Linked DNA regions of Neodiprion lecontei. The protein of the gene in region 4 purifies or fractionates together with the protein of the main gene of each other region. This does not show direct contact. Links are inferred from orthologs where the notes say so. Each region holds a gene or a part of one and is shown on either strand. Other genes may lie near its edges.

Region 1 (4,831 bases), about 21 Mb from region 4:
CATCGGCGGTCTGTGCAGAAGGGGGGTAAAAGAGAGGACGGGATAGGAGAAGGATGGAGAGAGACAGAGAGAGAGAAAGAGAAAGAGAGAGAGAGAGAGAGAGAGAGAGAGAGAGAGAGAGAGAAACCGAGCGCTGCAGGTGGAGGCGGCCGCGTCACCCGCCCGTCCGCGGATTCGATTGAATCATTACGATGCGGTAGGTGGTTGCGTGGGTAACGGTGAGCAGCGGCGCCGAGAAGAGTTCTGCACCCTCGATTTCAGGATCTAATGACTCTATTCCGTTGATACGTACGGCGGTGCTCCGTTTCCGTACGATGTATCCTATCACCGGTTAGGTATGATACGTTTCGATGGTTCGGATCAGGATGTGGAGAGTTAAAGGTAAGGAGAAGTATCTCATATGGATATTCGAATGAGAAAGTGTTCGCCGATAAGCAGGAAGTAGGGTTTCAACGAGACACCGGAACGGTGCTCGTGAGGAATAAGGGAATCAATCCGATTGGAGCTTTGTGGAGCTTTCGCTGCAGCAACGCCATCCTAATTTCTCTCTACTTTACGGAACACTTTCCGCACACTGGAGATAGTCCTCCTTACCTCTACCCTCGATAGATTAGGGAAAGAGGGTTCACGTCGAGGGGCGGAAGGGACTGCGAAATTCAACTCTTGTGAAAACAGAAAGCGTCCTGCCGTATAAGCAGGATGACAACTCGCCCGTGTCTCTGCGGCTGTAACCTATACACGAGAAAGGAAAATTGGAGGAGAGAAAAAAAATAATAGGCGAAATAACGTGGAGACATCACCAGGGATCACCGGAAGTTGTTTCAACTCAACACCGAATTGGGACTTCGGCTCCGGTGGCATGTGGCAATAAATACCTATACTTGAGCGCGTCGGCGCGGAAAGGAGCGAACTCGGGACTAGTTCTCTCATTCCTCTATCTTGTAGGTCCCTCGAGTTTCCCGATCACCCCAATTGAGAGCTGACGGCACATCCGCTAAATTTCTTGACTTTTTACCATTATCATTATTACTGCACTTCTCGCCGTGTAACGCAACACCCCAAAGTTGGGGAACGTAGAGACAAATTCCTGGAGTGAAAAGTGAAATTCGTCCGACTCAATATCGACGATATCATTTTCCAGCTCCCGCCCCACGTTTTCATTCAAGACTCACCTATCTTACAAACTCACCGCAATTGCGCACGCAGGTTGTATAACGAAGGCTGTGCAGATCACTTTCACAAACGCAACGACACCACCTCGGTTATCTTCGTTTCTCCTCTCTTTCCTCCTCTTCCTCCCCCGCTATAGAAGAGGGAACGACGACACCCCACCTCGTCCACCTCGTCACGCGAAGAAGAAGAAGAGGAAGAAGAAGAGTAAGAAGAAGAAGAGTTCTCTTCTTCCGTCTTTGTCCCGCTGGAGAAGGACGGCGGGGAGGAGCGGTTGGGCTGTTGCAGCGCGAGGCTGGTGCTAGTTGAGTTGTCGAGCTGACACGCGCTTTCAGCCCTCTCCTCTCCTCTCTCCTCTCTTCGCTCTTCTCTCCTCTCCTCTCCTCTCGACTCCTCTCCTCCCTCCTACGCGCCACCACTCTCGGACAACTCTGCTCTCCTCGTCGCGCTACCCCTGGCTATTCCTCTCTCCCTCGCTCTTATTTTCAGTTTTCTCTCATCTTCTCACTCGCACAGCACCACCAGGCAGGCGGTGCCGCCGCCGAGAACGAGTGCCGGGAATGCCTGGCCGCCCCTCTCTTCGCATCGCCGAGGACTCAGTACCGCCATACCCGTCAAAGCGTAAGGAGCGCGACATCACGTGGAACTACAAACACGTTGTTTCTCTACACCCACGATATCGCATCGCACCGTACTCAAGACCCAGTATTTCCATCGAATTCGACCACGAGTCCCTTCGCTCCTTATCATATTCCAACGGCAATTTGGATTTCTTTTCTTTTTCGGCTTTTCCGCAAGTGTGCGAATTCGGACTGTCGCTGTCACTTCGAGTGTCTCGTTTAAACCGCGGCGTGTTTAAAATAAAGAGATAAAACTTGCTGTCGGTCGAGTTTATCTCAACGTATGAGAAAAACAACACAAAACGTGCAAGATGAAGAAGGATTGACGTGAAGGATGTGCGGCAACCAAACCGATAACACAGTGATTAATACTTAGCCGCAAAAAGTGATCGAAATAAAAAGAATTCATCTGTAACTGGGGGGTGTGAAGTTTGAGTGGATTTTTTACGATTCGTCGAGAAATATACTGGAGGAAAGTAAATGAAAAATGCAAATAATGTAACCGCGTGGTTTAAATTAAGCCGTATGCGAACGTCACCCCGTGTGTGAAATTCTGCGTTGCAATCGAGAAAGAGAGAGAGAAAGCGAGAGAGAGGGGAAGAAAAAAAACACTAGTGCGGTAAAAAAGTTGACTCGCAATCAGGATTAGTTCGGGTAAAGAGTCCAGCTCAGGGGATCGGATCGGTAAGAATGTCAGCGAAGAACGAGGACCCGAATCAGGGTTAGGGACCGTCGGGGCCCATCGGCGACCAGCAACCGTCGATATCCTGGGCCGGGATACGCGAGAACTAAACCGCAACCACCGACGAAGAACCCGGACGATAAGCGACGGCCATGCGGATCAGGGTGAAACTGACGTCGAGTACAATAAAGGACCTGCAGAAATCGTCGCCGCGACGAACCCGGGATATTTAGGCGGCCCCCTCGACTCGGATCGCGGGTTCCACCTACGGCTGGAAGACCGACGTCGGTGTCCGAGCGACGCCGACTTCCTCGAGCACATCGGTTACGGGGCGAACTTCCGGGCAGCCAGGAACAGGGCGTTGACAACCCGGGAGATAGAGCTGGAGGTTGAACTCGAGGCGGCCAAGATGCCCGAGAAGGAAGTCGCCTACCATCAAGAGACCTTCTCCCTTTTGCCACCGCCACCGCCCCCGCCCCACCACCACCATCACCACTCGGCTTTTCACGCCGCGTTTCACCCCCACGGACATCCACCGCCGCCCTTTCACCCCCATCATGGACCGACGGCTCATCACCCCGCCGCAGCTGCCGCAGCCGCAGCCGCAGCCGCCGCATGGGAGCACCACGCCGCAGCGGCGGCCGCAGCAGCAGCCGCGTTTCACGCACCGCCTCCGCACCATCCGTAAGTCCCAGTTTTCGATCCTTCTTCAATCGCAGTCCGCGGATAATGTTTGAGAACCGCCGATTGTTTGCACTCTTCGCCAGATTTATGCATACCTAACCTTCGCTTATATCTGCACGGAACGTTTTTAGACAGACCACGATACGTATTCCGGAAGTTTTGACCGATCAAGCTTGAGCAAAGACTCAAATTGTCACGGATACCGGGTTCCAGTAATCGTCAATGAATGGTTGAGATTGAGTGGTACGAATCGTTTACCACTTCATGCGCGTCAGGTTTCAATGATCCATCACGAACCGATTACTCAAGCTTGGTGATACAGTAAGGATTTGAGTTTGCAATAAAACTTGATAGATATTATAGAAACGTTAACTTCGTGCACAGAATCCGATTCCTTACTAACACATTGCCCAAACACGTCGACCAAAACTGCTAAATGTAGAACAAGCGAAACCAAGAAATCGGTGAGACAGAAAAGTGCTTATCACGTCGAAGAGAGAATCAACGCGATAATGAATCTTCGGTTATTATATATAGAACATACAAGACTGATTTCTCTGACAGATATGATGGGGTGCAATATGACGGAGAATGAAAAAGAAATATTGTACGCGTTGAAAGTTTGTCAAGGTTTCAAATGGAGTTAAGCTAATTGCCGCGTATATCTCCCAACATTGTTTTCCTTCTTCTTCCACCGCGCAGTAACATTAGACTATCACTGCACTTATCATTACCTACCTATATAGTAACGTTTGACGGAATCGTTCGTTAGGCTCTGCTGTTCGTAACACGCGGCACCCGAGAGTACACAGACTAAACACGATTCGAGTCCCCCGATCTTCATAGTTGGAGATTACCGCGAGCCGCGGCATCGAGTTGCAAAAAGATATAACGCGATTATACAACTAACGGCGTTCCGAGTTGATATCGGGGTATATATATAGTAGTTTGATATTATAAAATACAAACAACGCACACGGACGGACTCTCGATGAATCGGGCGCGGTATCAGTGCCGGAAAAGAATAAAGAGGCCGATGTATATTTTTGGCAATCTAAAACCTCGCGTGTTCCCATCATCATCATCATTATCATCATCATCATCATCATCATCATCATCATCATCGTCGTCATCGTCGTCTTCGTTCCTCCGTTCACTCTTTGTCGGGAAAGAGAGACCTTGCGCGGATCTTTGTTTTGTTATGTAGATTAGCGCAGGTATAAAGGTATATAAGCCAAAAGCAATTCACCTTGCTGAAAGATGAAAAGAAATTTTTCATGGATTCTTTTCAGAACAGATGGGGGATATTCGAGTTCATTATATCGATAGAACGTCAATCTTCGGGGGGGCATATGCACAACCTGCGACCAGCAGTTGCGTGCATCGCAGGACACTACACGATATACGTACCAATAATATACATGATAAAACTGATTGCCGCGCTCGTTCATATAGGTGATCACCTATACACACATACCTGCTTTATAATTGTGCAGTAAAATTAACCGCCTATCTCAAGTTGATACTCAGATAACAACGGCACCTCGGTAACCCTTGCATTCCATTCTTGTCACTGCGGTGTTGCTACCGAGTGCCTGCACTTGCGGCAAGCACTCACCACGGTGCGTGCAACATTGTCACAGTACCGCACCACCAACTGCGACTGGTTGAGTCT
Region 2 (4,667 bases), on a different chromosome or scaffold from region 4:
TATAGTTCATGCTGGGTAATTAGCATTCACGGTTTGATGGTTTTGCAGTCTCTGGTTTTATGGGTTATTGCAGCAGTGCTATCTTTACATTATATTGGTTATGCATTTATCTATGGTTTTACAATCTTCTATACTCCGGGCTATGTAGTAAAGCGTATGTTGCTTATAGTATAGCTCTCACCTCCGAATGCACAAATGGCATTGTTGAGTGCTATATAATAATTGAGTATAATTGTGTTAGTTAATTATAGTGTTAATATGATAGTGATATATAATAACGCATAATAGTATTATAGTTCTCTGTGGTACGAAGATCTCGTAACATGGTTTTTAAGCCTTGGCTAGTGAATTTCATAGTTATTTCCATCTAGGGATATTCCAAATAGTTAGACAGTTGTTTTAATTTCTTATGGTTACAAGATTCTCGTACTTCGAGTTTGGTTAGTTGATAAAAGTAACATGCAGTAATAATAGTCGATAAAACATACGGACGTTCCGGTCGGATGTTACACGTTCGTAGATTTACCATAGCAGCGCCATCTATTGATTACTTACTCAACCCAGTCGAAAGGTATCGACATCTGTTAGAATCATTCGGAGTTGACAGATAATTGTGACTGTCAAATAATAACAGACAAATAATTAGCAATATATTATAATTGCGACTATAATTTGAGATTTAAACTATCCTATCTCTCAAGTTGGATCGAACTGCACATGGTGTGCGTATTTTATTATAATCGGTTAAGTGGTTTAGGAGTCCATTGAGGACAAACATCGTGACACGAGATTTATATATATTAAGAAGATGATAATAATATGTGAAAAAAATATCCAAATTACACAGATGATATGAAGGAATTCGATAATATAAGACTATTAATAGTACGGTAAAAAATTGCCGTAAATCACAAATCGAAATAGAGACATGTGTTCTTATAAAGTGCGTGGAAAGAATAATATCGTCAGAAAAATATAACCTAAAGCTTACCAATATTGAAAAAATAAGGATATAAGTACTCACATGGATGTAAAAAAGCAGTCGAAACTCTACAAAAGCATCTGATGTTACGAAATATAACTTCAAACCCATAGTTACCGCATCAAATACATGTATAATATGAGGTGATATATACCAATTGGTTTATATGCCTCAGGAAGTAAAAATATGCATTCAGTCGCGTGTTTCCCGCCGTTTGCTGTCAAATTTGTCACACCAATAATTCTTGTTCGTTATGCCATATGCCATGGAATATGGCTTATGGATCTTTATGTAGATTGAAATCCATAATCCATAGGCAGAATGCATAAACCATACGGACTGGCCTTTTGCAATTGCGCATGTGCTACGGCTTCTGCATTCTGCCTATGGCCTCTGTAATTTTATGTGCTCCAGCCTTAATTCTGCCGCAAAGTGCTGCCGAACACGGTCTTTCATGATCGGATGCTACATGAAATGCTACGGATGTGTTGAGGTCCGTGAACAGAATGCTGCCTGGGTAGTTATGCAATAGTCCCCGGAGTTTGCCCAATCCAGGCGCACCTAACGTACGACCATCGTACGACAGCTCCTCATTCAACACTAAATTGCTTTGTATTCCATTCCTCATACTGGCAATCGTTGGTCATTTACAGGTGTTTGATAACACAATTGCAATGTTTGATAACTCGACCGCTTATTCAGGAAAATTGAAACAATTGTAGTTAGGCATAAAACCGATAGCATAATTGACCAATCAGAGCATTTTTGCTGCTGATGCATTAAGACCGTGATATAGTCAGATCCAGTTGAATACCTCCGTGTGCGCGGTACGCGTTTGAGGTGGAGTATATTTCAGTGCCTTCGATTACCTGCGTTGACTTTAATTATTTGTCACCTGTCAGTTGGGAGTTGCGGGTAACTGTATCTTTCTGTTTCCACTGTTAAAACACTAGTATGTTCAAATCAACGACGAAAGAGACGTGAAAGCAAATGTCACCGTTTCTATAACCACCAATGTTGTGTGACGTACATACCTTTCATGAGGCATACTACGTATTTGTAATGATCGGATCTGTAGAATCCTCGAAATACAGTCAACTAATAGAAGCTTGGCTTTATCCCAAACTCACAGATACCGATTTTTTAGTTCGTATTATATAAAAAAAAAGTTATTAAAACATGTTGAACCGTGTTCAATGTGTACCAATTTTCATGAAACTTCACGATGTCGGTGCAACTTTCAATTGATCATTGGAATAACTAGTTGTACGAACCTCAATTTCCAAATCGTCTGTTTCAAACGTTGGTTAAGCAGAAGACCCGACTGACTTTTTAATTTAAAAACAGAATCCTACAGTGACAATGCCAAGTACTGTACCCACTTGTCCGCTTCATTGTGCCACATGTTTCGAAGATTTAACGAGCCAAGCAGAAGTTAAATTCGAAAAAAAAAATCCTAAGATGGTATGCAAATCTTTGGGAAAATTACTGGATGAAGGAAAGAAACACAGATTGACTGGAGATGATGAAATGGCTTATATAGTTTATATGCGATGGATTCACTGCATTCGCTGGCTCCAAAAAACGCCTGATTTTACAGAAAACAAAGATTTTCTCAAGCCTTATGTTTCGGGGTCTAAGGTAATCCTGGGCAAAAGTTATAGATTTTGGTAGATGGCAGAAAATGTTAGGTTGACCTATTTCCAACATTTTTTTTTAATAGTACATTATCCAGCCCTCATACCTTTTAGGAAAAATTGCTTGACTTTTGAGCAGTATTGATTTTTCGAAAATCATTACTTAAATTAGGCAGCTAAGTGTGTGTGATTTACAGGTAAAGGAGATACTAAGTCTTTTGGAGGAAATTGCTGACAGATTGAAAAACAGGTATAAGGTGAAACGATTGGAAGAGAATACTAAACAGATACTGAATACTGTTGAAAAGGTGATAATTGAAAGCGATCACATGAACGATGATGATTTGTTAAATGAAGTTGGGGATATCGAGCTGAATTTACCCGACACACCGACGGATGACCCAGATACCAAACTGACTGAAACGTCGATAACATGCATGGAGATGTTTCAAGAAATGCAAAAACTGGTTGATCGAATAATAATAATTGATATTAGACCGCGAGGAGATTTTCAAAATTCACATATCAGAAGCGATCAATGCATAAACATTCCAACTGACCTAATAAAGACTGGGTAAACACACAGTTTTCATTGGCTTTAAATGAGATACTCTTCCAGGGTGTATACGCACTGGAGAAATGCCAGAAATTTTTCTTACTGGGGAAAAACTGAAATTTTCTGGTACTCTGTGATAGTAAGATAAATTTTGCACAATTAGTGCACAATTCATGTTTTGTTTAGAAAAATTTTTTCCCATTATGCCTGGTTGACATAGTGTAATAATATCGTTTGTCTAATGGTATAAAGACATATGCACCAAAGATGCGAATTTCTCGGAAGAAAAAATCTGTTAAAAAATTAGACGTAAAAATTACAGAGGTTAATGGCCCTCTGTTTGGTGGATATGCCCTTTTGCACCAAAAAATATTTTTATTTATCACACTTATAAATGATATCAGGTTGCATCCGCCATTTTTGTGTTTTTTTCGCGACCAATGCAAAACCCTTCAAAATATGAAGATTTCTCAATTTTGAAAAAAAATTTACAATTGCGTCTTTTGTCAAAAAATATGGTTGGACGTAAGGGTATAAGATCGTATTCGCCAACTTATTTTAAAGCTTTGAAAACCTTTCGAATGTAAAGATTTATTGATTTCGGAAAGGATAAAAATTTTTTTTTCACAAATAATTATATCGGACATAACAGTACAAGGGCGTATTCGCCAATTTATTTTTTCTTGCAAACGCTTTAAAAATCTTTGAAAAGTAAAGATTCATTTATTTTGGGAAGAATGTTTAAAATTTTTATTTTCTCAAAAAATAACATCATACGCAACGGTATAAGGTTGTATGTGGGAAAATGCGACCTTACACCATTAGAGAACATGATTATTTTTCATAAACTTTGTGATTAAAGGGCATACCGACCGTACGTACGACGCTCTACATTAACTACATTTTTGAATTTCAATGTTTTCGAATGTATGCTCATATTTTTCGCTTAAATACGATCGAGGAAAAAAAATATGCCTTTTTATCTTTACATGTGGTAAAAGCTCGTATAATGACACATACATCCTTATACCATTAGACATACGATGAACCTGATGTGAAAATAAAGGTTCTAAAATATTTTACACATTTAAATTATCAATGTACCCTGAAATTCTTAACATGGTGATGAAAAGCTCCCGCACGCATTCCTGTGATCTCAAATTTTATTGATAGAATTTCGTATTTTGCAAGCTATAAATAACATTCATGAAAATTAAAGCGCGATGTTATAAAAGTATATAAAAGGCTTGTAATTTCCTCGATATGCAGAGTAATATCAATAATCTATGTCTAGGCACTTGGGAGAAACATATTTTTCACTGGGAAATTCTAGAAAAACCCGGTATTTTTTTTTTTTTTTATTCCCAAATACACCCAGTCTTCATACTGATTCTTGAATTGTTATTTATTAAACGAATGAAACATGTCGCTGGTTATTTCTAGTATTTCTAATATTTCAGAATACTAGCTACCGATCTTTTTAAACGATTGA
Region 3 (5,023 bases), on a different chromosome or scaffold from region 4:
GTACGAATGGTTACTTCGTTTGTGCTTAAGATATCATACCGGAGATTGTACAGTTTTAAATTAAAATTGATATCAAAGTCCTCGGATTGTCAGTGAGCAGTTAAGAATCGAACGAAAAAACTTAATGGAATGAAATATTAAAATCTTTAAAATGTTCTCCTATTTGTCCATTCGGTTTAGTCGCGGGTGAAATGAAGCATCATGGGTATTTTCTAATTACGAATATCATGCTAATAACATTAGTTTCGATTCTCTTGTTATTACACCGCCATTTTAAGGAGCTAATTTCTTTCTGCAGTCAAGATTTTTACAGAAACTTGAAATCATGAATGAAAAATTCCTTATTGGAAAAATATCCGATCTCGATATCACAGAGAAGTATCGCATTAATTAAGTCTCCAAGCTATATATCCACATAAGCAGCAAAGATCCATGTTCTGTAACCATATGTAACGTAGCTACAAGCAAACCAAATAGAAAAGCTGTACCCTGCTAGGATATTTCTTTATTTACTCGAAAACATCCCAATGTGCAGGCTCTTATTCGTAAAAGAGATATTCACTAGATAATTGCCGTGGAGAGGAATATTCAGAACAAAACTAGACTTCGTAGTCATTTCCAGAATCATTAATTTCTACAAGTAAGGAATCCCCCGATAGGATGCTTTCGATCAATTATCCTGACTAAACTTTGATAAGTGATCCAATTTCAATCTATTAATAGCTAGCAGGATTTCGAACGAAGTTTAGCAACATCCATTTGAAACACTCGCCTTTGGAATTGTATCCAATTAATCAATTTAGAGTGCAGAATTATGGAGTATGTCTACAACTGTGCCAAATGGACGTCCGAAATAGAGACAGTTTACATTTACATAACTTCAATTGTGAATGAAATTTAGAAGTCTGGTCAAAGGTCCATTATTTTTTTATTGATCATTCTTGTTACAAATTGTGAAACGATACATCGACATAGTTTGACAATCTGTAACAAGAATAATTTGACTGAAGAAATATTCTTCAGTACCATGATGATATAACTGATATGTTCTTCAGTCAACCTAGTTATGTCGTCCGCGTATATTTCATATTTTTTATTTTCTCATGTAAATTTGGTAGTAAGTACGATTAAAACTTCAGCACAATATTTGAAATAGAGAATCCCTCGAATACTATTTCCTTTTAAAGCAATTTCCACGGTTTCCCACAAAATATATTTTCGATGATTATTTGAATTACCCGCGGTAATGGATAAATTGACTACACGCAACAAAGAAAATAACACGGTATCCAGTTAGTATAGGAAGAGATGTTGGTATCACTGATCTCTACTATACACTGGTATAGCTCTGTCTCTCTCCCATTTCCGGACACGTCAGCGCCGTATGCGTGATCCACGCTCTATGTCCATGGTGTATGTAAAAACTGCATGTAGTATAACTGCACCAGAAACCTAAGATAACGACTGTGTACTAGTGCACAAATGCACACATAAGGCAAACAGTATCTCCACTGAGAAAATCCTTATTTAGTGACATTATATTATACACAAGGGGTAAATAATAAATTAACGATGAACAAAGAATTCATGCGCTGAATATCGATTCTCATAACTTTTATAGACAAAGAAGTGTACAGTAAAAATAATTTACAGATCAAATAACAGTTATTGACATCAAATTAGAGCTTTCGTAAAGTAAGTAGACGTATGTTTTCTTTCGTCCGTGACCATCGGCGGCTCGTGCAAGCGGTTACAAAGAACGGGTCAGCGCGCGTAGCGAGTCAGCCAGGGCGCATGTATCACGTTACGAGTTACGCATACCAGACGCACACAAGGCGATGCACAAGGCATCAGCATCGGCCAGCACGCAACTGGCGTCGCGGCAAATACGTTGCGAACGAAGTTAGTCACTTGACGGCGGGGGGAGCGGCCGGAGGGCGGAGGGAGGGGGTTGCGGTCGATATTCGACTTGAGCGGTGGCTCGAGCGGGACTTGGGAGGGAGAGGTTAGGTCAGTCGACACTTTGACAGTAATAAACCGACGCGAGAGAACATATCCGCCGTGCTCCGAGACGCTGTCTTGCTCGTTCCGATATATCAGAGAGAAAAATAAGATCTCGCACAGCTTCAAAGTCATATTAATCTGCGGCGGTTGTCGCGAAGCGAGTCTTTTTTTTTTTTCACGACAAGGTTATGTAAAATCTATCCTGTGGCGCCAGCATCTACGGCGCGGACGTGACGTATCGAGGAATCGAGATCACTTGTTCACAGTAATCAGAGTCGGGATGTGTATCTTCGCTGGTTGATATCGTACCTTCCGTACTCTACGTACGTTTTGTGTTTGAAACATACAAACGCGTAGTTTTGTAACCGTTCGACGTATCGATTAGTTGTATTTTTTTTTTTTTTTTTACAATAAACCCGATGCCGGTGCAGTGTGAGTTCATCGAGTGTTGAAACTGTGGTGCCGTTCGCCTATGAATTTTCATTGCCGATCGCAAAAGGGTGTGGAACTACGGGGTCTCTAGGACAAGTTAGGTGAGTCCTCTCCCTCGCTCTATTTTTGTTTCACTACGTTTATCGTTTAGGTACATAGATACTTTTTTTTTTTTATACCTTTTTACAAATTTATTTTATACACGATTTTCATCGAGGTCTATCTACGCCTGCATGCTGTTCTTGGTAACAACTGAGTGACGGGCAAACAACGTTTGACGTATGAATACTATGAATGTATGTACGTCGCCGCGTTTCGTTGTGATTTTTTACTCGTTTCTTTCAGTTTCCTCGTCCCCATGATCCCTCGACCGACGACGTCAGACGCCAGAAATGCGCTGTCAGAATTCTCGGAATTTTTTTCAACTTTGTGATTATCGCCCGCGAATAGTACTCGTCCTACCCTACGTTACTCAATACGGCCTCTTAGGACGGTCGAGGGTTATTAAACAAATACTATACATATGCTCTAGGAGGCGTGGCGGGACCGAATAATTAATTTCGAAATTTATATCCAATTGCGCGCGAGATTTTAATTAACACTTTCAAGGAGGTGTCGTTTCGCATCAACAAATAAATCTGTCGAAGCTTCGGAATTCCAAGAATCGGAATGACGTAGGTTTCCTTTTATCACAACCACCAGTTTAGTTTGAGGAAAAGGCTGATTAGATCGCACCTGATGACAAATAGTAATGTCTTTTTTTCCAACGCTGCCGGAAACAAAGTGAAACACTTAAATCTTGCTGACAGTGAGGATCTTAACTTTATTATTATTGTTATTATTATTGTTGTTGTTGTTGTCGTTGTTATTATTATTGATACCGATATTATTACTATTATAATGCATCGCGGTTATGTTTAACAAAAACAGTCATCGCACAACCTACGTGAGTAATGAACTTTACCGCTGATAAGAAAATGAAAACGTCGACAGAAATATAAAGAAACAAGAGGGAAAAGTGAAGAGGTAGAAAAATTCTTCTATTGTATGAGAAATTAGTCGAAGGAATCAAAAGTGGTGTAAAAAAAGGTATACAAAGACTTGACCTACCCCAACCTGTTAGATGCATAACGTGGGAACTTCCCACGAAATCCATAGAGCTGCTACTACTTACTCGAAATGCACGAAGCGAGTGTTAGAATGCTTCACGTAACATCCTCATTCATCCGTTAAGAAAGTGTAGGATGTGTTTGAGATCGGTTATAACTGAATTCACATAGCCGAAATACTTCGTACCGTGGGAAAATTCGGAGCCTACGGTACTGTGCGAACATTTTCTTAACGTTTACATGTTTCTTCGGAAACCTCATTAGGCGTTACTTAATGTGGTTGGTTGCCCATAATTCGAAATATTTTTATTAAGTTTACTCCGAGATAATCGCACATTTACTGTTTGTCAAATTATCATATTTGCAAGCTACGAAGATTTCATGAAAAATATAAAAATATAAAATGTTGGAAACATTAACAACAGCGTGGATATCAATGCTTCGTTTCAAATCGCTTCGAAATGGCTAAGAATATAATAGATCTATATTCGATTTCACTCTACGATGGTTCGTTATATTTAGAAGACTTTCGCTTTTCACAAATTACAATACAATACGATATTTTAGCGATATTGATTATGATCAAAAAATGGCAATATCGAGTTGAGTAGTGTAAAAATGATCTGTTTTATTGCCTTTGTAGAAAATATAGTCTTTTGAATGAAATGAGCCCGTCGTAGAATGAAGTCTATTGAATAGTTGAAAGCATCTCATAGCAACAACTCGTACATAATTCGTACAACTCTCACGGCGTGGCAAAATTCCTTGGCGCCGGTTAAAGCTGACTTAACCGATATTGTGAGTCAACTGAGCATAATTGGGAATGCACGCATCAAATTCTTCCTTAACTTGAAAGAGGTGGAAGTTCGTAGCGTTTCACTACAATGCGAATTCAGAATTAGTTGGAAGTAGTTGATATTAAAAAATATGACCGTGATTTGCTTTATTGCGGTTTGAAATTGGTGAATTTCAAACAATCCTAAAATTTCTAAATAAACGTTTCTTTCGACAACGAACCTTATTAATTTGAATTGCTCAATTCCTCATCATCATGACAGGTTATAGGTATTGTCGTCTCTTTATACCTGTGTACACACAAATGTAGATTTACGAAACAAATCGTGGGCTGTAGACTTTTGTCATCATTCAATATACAGTAGCAGCATAATGGACAGCGGAAATTCATAAAGTAATGATAATAGTTCGTATTTTGGATACCGTATCAAATGCGAGTATGATTATCGTAACAAGTATGTAGACACGTAAGTTATGGGAAATTCCATATCTCGAATAACCGTAGACTACTTTCCCTTCGATTGCTTTTCTGTGTCGTATTGTTATCGAAAATCTCTAACGGAACAGCAGAACATTCTCAAATCTTTTTCCGGAATCAGCCTGAATTTTCTAATGTTGAGATATGACGATTCATTATTCTAAAAAATTGTTATTACGGATTTTCCGAAATTCAGTAAACCGTA
Region 4 (7,628 bases):
TCTTGAGTTTTATTTTAATAATTTCGTATTGCATGAATGTAGGAATATGTGAGAAATGAACACTCTGTATTGACACATGAGTGGTTGACGTTCGAGAGATAAAAATTCAATTTTCCAGATTATGTTTACTTCAAAATTTTCAATGTCTATTTACTGCACACACTATGTCATGAGCAAAGTGTTACTAGCATATTACGGATTTATTCATGTGATAATCAAGCTGCATTCAGTGTGATTTGAGTATAACCAAAGAAAAACACTACATAAGTGTAAAGTTAAAAAAAGAGGTATATCTTTTATCAGACACTTACCGCCGGTACATTGTCGCAACAGAGAAATAAGCTGGTGAATATAAAGAATATAGAGTCGCAAAAGTGGAATGCAAAGTATTAAAAATATTTGGTAAAGCCGCTTTCGATAACACACTTGACGTCTGCCGTTTGTACAATACGAAGTTAGGTTAGTATCACCAGCATATGGCACATTATGGATTATTCTAATATCAGTACATTAGAATAGCCTGCAGGTAATTAACATAATGTCTCTTATTTCTTTAATCCCCAGATGTGTTTCACGTACGTTTAACGGGAAGTTTTTATCAGTATGTAAATAATCTGCATACGGGTCTTATCGCACTTCCTCAGCCCTCTCTGACGAGAATCGGTCTAACAGCCGTTGCTAAAAACTTTAAAACTTTTGCTTACTCACCTGTAACACAAATTCACCATTCATGAGTCAGATCTTCAAGGCTAAATTCAACGTCAGTGGAACCATTAGAAAAATCGGATCTGACAGTTCTCCAATCCCTCCTTCTCTTTGATATCAGTGGACTAAATTCACGACTTCGTCTGCTTTGACAGGTGTGCGATGCCGTCTGCACTGGGCTGCTACTGGCATGGCGTAGAAATGGTGCATGAGATAACCAATCCTAGCTCCGTGGTGTTTTACAGAGTGATGTTTCCGTAACTTATCGCAAGATGTCGGTAAAAGACTTATGCGCTGACGCTGACGACTCACGGGCACGGCAAGGGCTCGGTTTTGGATGCGTTACGATGAACTGAAGACGTTTAGATGTGTCCCAGCTTTGCCTTCGGAAAGAGTATGGAAACTACACAAGGAGCACGAACTCCATGTAATCAAGTAGCAGCCTGAATTAAGATGACACTGGTGTTCCGTATGCACCGAAGGCAGTGCAGGGGGTATGGGGTGGTAGTGGAAACTTTCTACGAATTACATTGCAAGATCATCGATCAGTCGGCTTGAGCATCCCTGCAACCAATGACACTTCGGTACAAAAAATAAACCTAATGTAAACGATTACTGTGATAAGTTTAGTCAATTCACCTACTTGAGTTCTTGCTCATTGTGTAGTCTCCATGGGAAAGAGTTAGGTCTCCTCCCCTCTTCCTTCCTGGTAGCAACTTATCGCCGACTGAATGGAGGATCTTGACGTCGTGGGTGGTCCCGAGGTACCCGGATCGGGGGGTGGTCGCGGGGGCAGGGAGCAACGTGCGTGTGGTCCTTCGTCCGGCATACCCGACTACCCGCCGCCCGGCGTCGTCAGCTATAGAATGCGTTGCGGGCACGATTGCATGCGGATCGCTTTGTCTGAAAAGACGCTTCTCGGCGACGCTCTGATGACAAATCGGACAAATGTCAGAGGTTGTCGTGGAAAGATTGGCTGATAATTACTTACCTTGGTCAAGGAGTATTCGATATCAAGGTACGTGATCGTTAATTACACATCCCGGTTATTTTTAAGTAATTAAAAATTTTTACTTTCTCTTGGAGCTTTATAATTAATGGTATTTGAGGATAAAGTGGTGTGCATTGTGTGCAGTAAGTCCAATTTTCCATAAAAATATTATTTATTATAACAATATTATTTCTCCTTCGCGTGTATACACATATTTGGGTTGTCAGATTCTGATCATGTTTTTAATGGTAAATGTTAAATTAGAATGGTCAGAACCTGGCATCCTGATAAGCATCCATGCGTTTTAATTGTAAACATCATCGTCAACATAGTACTCAAACTTGCACACATGAATTATTGGTACTTATATCTTTGAAAAATCATTATTGAAATGAATATACAGCAACATCTCGTCAATAGGTACAAGATCAGCTTGTAGTAAAAAGATTGGTTTTTCCAGATAGACCTGAGAAACTGGCTACTGATTATGAGATTTATTTTACTATCAATAAAATAACGCAAGATGATAGTCTCAGTTTAGTCTATTTTACTTGAACTTGCTTTCTAGGAAAGAATATATGTATATTGTATACGTGCATTAAAAACAAGACTACAAGTGTAGCATTCTCTGTAATTAGATGCTCCAGCTTGCCTTTTTGATAATGGCCGTATTCTATGGAGTTGGATCAGAACTAAGCCGGAACTTTTTGTCTGTTGCCAATGGTAATAATGAAACCTGGAATGGAATAGAGATTGGAAGGTCAGGGCTCAGACATGAAGACCAGAGTTTCTTGATGGATGGATATACAAGTGCAGAGTCTGCAAATTGTAGAAAAGCGGCAAAGTGTATTGATATCAGCAACAATACTTTGTGCATGGGTACTAGATTGACGTATTCAACTACTACGTTAGACCTCATCCCTGATTCTACCTTAGAAGGAAGTATACAGGTTATTATTGTACATATGTATATTAATGATAAGGAAGCATGCATTTTGGAAAATTTATACTGAATACCTCCTGAACTCAGTACCTGATCTGTCAAAAATCTGTTCCAATTATAACGGGTTATTGTGATTCTGTTCGGGAGCAATACTTGAAAAACAGTTCTATTAGTGCTAAGAATAGCTTTGGTATTGATGGTAATCTTGAGATTCAATTTACTTCTATTATATGATGTAATTTTTTTAAAACCGAATCATAGGTGATTTATTTCAAGACTTTAAAATACTCTGAATTCTATTAACTGTTACTCTATGTATTTCACTGTGTACGTTTAACTGGTTTCAAATTAACTAATTGGATCTATGTATTTTGAATTCATCTTCACAGGAGAACTTGAACCAATTCCGTGGTCTTATGCACATTCCAAAATGCTGGGCAGTAGTTCAACCATTTTTGTGTTCAATCTTTATGCCAAAATGCATCAATGGCATTGTAGATTTGCCTTCGCAAGAGAAGTGCAAAATGGTCTCTGGCCCATGCCGTTTATTGTTTAATCACACAATCTGGCCAAGTTTCATCAGATGTGAAAATGCAGAACTTTTTCCAAAAATGTGTAAAAACGATGTCAGAGACTTGAAATTCAACACTTCCGGTAAATGCCTGAAGCCACTTATACACACAGACAATTCACTATCAATTTTCGACGGTATTGAAGGGTGCGGCACTCAGTGCAGCGATCCACTTTTCACACCGGACGAACAGCGTCAAATCCATTCCTTTGTCGCATGGGCTGCTGCAACCTGCCTACTGTTCAATTTGTTTACCGTGGTAAGTTAGTAGATTGCGATAATGAACTTGGCCCCTTGAATAGTTGCATTGAACTATAAGTATATATCAAGCTTTAGTTATGAATTGTGACTTTCGATCAATGAAAATTCATCAGAAGTTGTTCGTTATGTTTAGGTCACATTTTTGATTGACTGGAGGAGTGCTAACAAATACCCAGCTTTAGTAATATTCTACATCAACAGCTGTTTCATGGTATCGTGTGTAGGGTGGCTGGCACAGTTCGGTCCTGGTAGCAGAGATGTTATTGTTTGCCGAAAAGATGGCACTTTAAGAATGAGTGAACCAAGGTACATATAAATTTAAGTTGAAAATGAGCTTCTGCAAAGAATAAGATTAATTACATTGTTTCTTACTGATTTTTCAACGGGCCTTAAGTACGCTAGATGCATAAATAATGCCCTACTGAATCAGTATTTTACTATAGCAATGCGAATAATTGCGCTTATTTATAACCACTTATTCCTTATATGAACAATAAACTCATAATACTTTGTGTTTGTATACCTAAGTGAGTGCGTGTCAGGGAATATACTACACTAATATTACTTGGTAACAAATACATGTAGTTTTTCTCCTTGGAAATCACGTATTGCTTACGTTCAGAAACAGTTTCCTTGCTAGGCTATACTGAATAACTAATCAAGTACTTTAAATTGATAGGATACATGTGTATGTCACATCACATCATTGATTTGGTTCTACAAATGATAAACTGAGTGTCTGACTAGAATACTTATTAAGTAAAGTCTACTGTAATAAAAATCGCCTTCAAGCCATTTTGATATCTTTATTTGTGTCACGAGTAGATTGTAATTTTATTTTTATGTACCAATATTGAAATCATTTTGCAAATGAAGCAAACTTGATTCAGAAATTTTAATCAAATTAATCACACAACGAATATCTGTTTTGCAGCGGTGAGAACTTATCCTGCGTGGTGGTATTTGTTCTCGTTTACTATTTTCTGATGGCAGCTATGGTTTGGTTTGTTATCTTTACGTACGCATGGCATATGAGTTTTCAAGCTCTTGGAAAGATCCAGGACAGAATTGATAAAAAAGGAGCTTATTTTCATCTCATCGCTTGGTGTCTTCCGCTAGTATTGACAGTCACAATTATGGCTCTGGGAGAAATAGATGGAAACAGTGTTACTGGAATATGTTTTGTGGGCTATGCAAATCACGCTGTGAGAGCGTGGTTTTTATTGGGACCTATTTGCATTGTACTACTTGTTGGAGGATATTTCTTATCAAGAGGTATATTATTTTGAACTGATTTTGTTTTCAGTACAATGCAGTAATTCATAATCTAATTATACCATTCTATTTTTATGCTTTCTTCCACTCGTACTCAAAGAGTAAGTATGTTGCAAGATTCGTATATCTGTCAATTGATGATTCTACAACTTGGATAAACTAATTTTCTAATTGATTCGAAAAATCAGTTTCTCAAAAGTTTCTCCTGTTTCAGGATTGATAACGTTAATTCATCTGAAGATAAGCAGTCAGGAAGTAATATCTAAGCGAGCTAGCTCCAAAATTCGAGAAACAATTGTGAGATTGGGATTATTTTCGATATTTACCTTTGTGGCAGTAATAGTAACATTTTATTGTCACATCCATGAATTCCAACACTCGTGGGAATGGAAACAAAGCTTCCGAGATTATATGATGTAAGCGTTTGGTTATGCATAATTATTGTGAATTTTTTGTTAATAATTGTTTTTAAAGAGTACTTTTGTATGACCACTATCACTATATTGCTACAAAATACTGGACAATAGTAAATGTATAATTTTTTAAATGAATACCAATTTTATGCTTAGCTGCACTATTACAACGAAATATACTGCAGGAGTATCAGAATGTAAAATGACATCAAGACCCAGCGCGGCCAAGCTTCAATTACATTTATTATCGCCATTCTTTGCTGGTGTTTTAATGTCTTCTTGGGTTTGGACGGGATCAACTGTGGATACCTGGAAAAGATTTCTTAGACGGTGAGAACAAATTCCCCAAGACATGGCAGCTATAAGTAAATTGATATTGTGCAAATACTAAGTTTTATGTTGAAGGTTGATAAAGTAAATTCATTTCGAATGAATGACAAGAGTTCTTGAGAATTCTTCACCAGTATGCACTTTCACAGATTACGTAAGAATATTGATTTACTTACTTCGAATCTGTTCATCATTACAGAACTTTCAACTGTGAGGCAGAAGAACAAATTATACCAAAAAAGTACAAAGCAATTGCTCAAGCCTATGAAAAGAGAAATACATTTAAAAATGCTGGACGATTATCTATAAGCTTCCACAACACACATGAAGATCCAGTTGGTCTAAATTTTGAACTAAATTCAGTAGCCTCTCAAGACTTCAGTTCAACGTGGGCAGCTGCATTACCAAAGCTGGTGACAAGAAGGGGTGCTTTAGTTGGTGTAACAACAGGATCTGTATCGAGCAACCGACGGAATTCCGTTGACTCAGAAATTAGTTTTAGCGTTCGTCGTGTGTCTGTAGAGTCCCGAAGAAATTCATTGGATTCCCAAATCTCTGTACAAATAGCAGAACTTAAGACAACTAGAAAAGTAGCTTCCACTACGTTACCTGGTAATTCTCGTAGCAGGCGAGGAAAACGTAGGAGGCGCGATTTCAACAAGACAAGATCTGGAAAAGTTAAACCACTTTTTCGAAGAGGTAGTACAACATCACAGGAGAGCGAACTGGGAGCCCAGATTCTTTCAGCTTTGACTATTGGAGGGAATCCCAACATTCCGCCCTTACAAATGCCAAACATGAAAAGAAGATCTGCCAGTGCTGGCCTGGATGGGCAAGCCATAAATTCAAAAATGCTAGATGGTAAAAACGCAGGCATGATATTGCCGTTTTTATTCCCAGGACAAAGTGAGAGTGACGAAAACTTGAGCAGTGAAGAGAAAGGTTCGCGTATTAATCCACGTAAAGACATCGATGTGGAAGCCTGCAATGTGGATAAAGAAGAGCAGGACAGTGAGAGCGAAGATAGCCATGCTGAAGAAAATACGAAAATGATATCTGTTGAAGAACCTCCCGAGCGAAGTAAAAGTAAGTCAAGTAACAATAGTACAAAGAGCTATATTCATGACAGTAGTGGTCGACGTAAAGAACTGAAAGTAAAAGACATGGAAGTAGAGCTCAAAGATATGTACAGAAAAGGTGACCTGGTATCGAGTTTGACATCTTTCTGTCCGGAGCTCTCTCGACTCATACAATCTGACGATTCGAAAACGAAGTTAACAAAGCGTCAAAGTGATGATGCAAACATTCAATCCAATGCCAGAGAGATGGCTACACAAACTTCTCTCCCTCTTGATATTTTAGAGATGGAGGAATTAAAGCAAAGTATTGATGAAATAATTAACAGTAGAAATTGTAGCTCTAAAGGGACACAGATTTCCCCACAACTCAACAAAACAGCTAATCGTAAATCTTCTGACATCAGGTAGAGTTGTTTAGTCATACATGAAAATTGAAATGTGTTTTAAGCCGGTTTAGTGTCAGGTAGTGTGGAGTCAACATACGTACTTGCGTGTTCAACAAATCTAAGCTATGTTTCAGGTAAAGCCGAGTACTGTTGAGATCTATACTTCTTTTAACGTAACTCTTTTAACGTAATAACATTATATTAGGATAAAAAATAAATCCAGCTAAGTAATAAGTATATTTTAACTCTGTTCAATGTCGGGAAATGTATTTCGAGAAATTGACCAACTTTGTAAAGCAAATAATTGTGATACTCAATAAGCATGATTACTGAACATTATACAACTAACCGTCACAATTTATTCATCTGAAATCAGATGATTTAATTGTACGTACTCAACACTTCTTATATTTCGTTATAATTTATAGTATCATGATGTGCCCTTAATTTACTTTTTTCAACTTTCATGTAAGCTATCTATTACGAGCATCCACGTACGCCATTTTACATAATCTTGTTGACATTTAATTAAGGTATGATTTAAGATGCATGCCAGAAGTTGGCAAAATATGGAGGCAAACAAATTCTTTTTACATATTTAACATTTTTTTTATTCTCAAATCAAGACTGACTGAGTGCATAACGTTCCAACTTGTTGGAGCAATATTGATCGT

Evidence for each region.
Region 1: the proteins of protein smoothened (region 4) and transcriptional activator cubitus interruptus-like purify together in Drosophila melanogaster (affinity purification with western blotting; 3 studies listed by BioGRID, with this or other methods). This does not show direct contact. The link is inferred for Neodiprion lecontei from reciprocal best matches to the Drosophila melanogaster genes smo and ci.
Region 2: the proteins of protein smoothened (region 4) and ubiquitin carboxyl-terminal hydrolase 8 purify together in Drosophila melanogaster (affinity purification with western blotting, with the first as the bait; 4 studies listed by BioGRID). This does not show direct contact. The link is inferred for Neodiprion lecontei from reciprocal best matches to the Drosophila melanogaster genes smo and Usp8.
Region 3: the proteins of protein smoothened (region 4) and beta-arrestin-1 purify together in Drosophila melanogaster (affinity purification with western blotting, with the first as the bait; 4 studies listed by BioGRID). This does not show direct contact. The link is inferred for Neodiprion lecontei from reciprocal best matches to the Drosophila melanogaster genes smo and krz.

Annotation. Positions count from the first base shown.
Region 1 is NC_060260.1:7,977,253-7,982,083, forward strand, and holds the start of transcriptional activator cubitus interruptus-like, read left to right. Parts: upstream 1-1,784; 5' UTR 1,785-2,881; coding exon 2,882-3,156; intron 3,157-4,831. UniProt on the Drosophila melanogaster protein: Has a dual function as a transcriptional activator and a repressor of the hedgehog (Hh) pathway. The full-length ci form (ciFL), acts as an activator (ciA) while ciR, its C-terminally truncated form, acts as a repressor. Involved in segment polarity.
Region 2 is NC_060265.1:31,615,623-31,620,289, reverse strand, and holds the start of ubiquitin carboxyl-terminal hydrolase 8, read left to right. Parts: upstream 1-1,655; 5' UTR 1,656-1,897; exon of another isoform or gene 1,898-2,248; intron 2,249-2,329; coding exon of another isoform or gene 2,330-2,344; coding exon 2,345-2,623; intron 2,624-2,816; coding exon 2,817-3,193; intron 3,194-4,635; coding exon 4,636-4,667.
Region 3 is NC_060263.1:23,041,440-23,046,462, reverse strand, and holds the start of beta-arrestin-1, read left to right. Parts: upstream 1-1,976; 5' UTR 1,977-2,537; intron 2,538-5,023.
Region 4 is NC_060260.1:28,862,919-28,870,546, reverse strand, and holds the start of protein smoothened, read left to right. Parts: upstream 1-1,585; 5' UTR 1,586-1,723; intron 1,724-2,334; coding exon 2,335-2,646; intron 2,647-3,028; coding exon 3,029-3,469; intron 3,470-3,604; coding exon 3,605-3,777; intron 3,778-4,405; coding exon 4,406-4,746; intron 4,747-4,960; coding exon 4,961-5,162; intron 5,163-5,315; coding exon 5,316-5,489; intron 5,490-5,688; coding exon 5,689-6,976; 3' UTR 6,977-7,628. UniProt on the Drosophila melanogaster protein: Segment polarity protein required for correct patterning of every segment. G protein-coupled receptor which associates with the patched protein (ptc) to transduce the hedgehog (hh) signal through the activation of an inhibitory G-protein.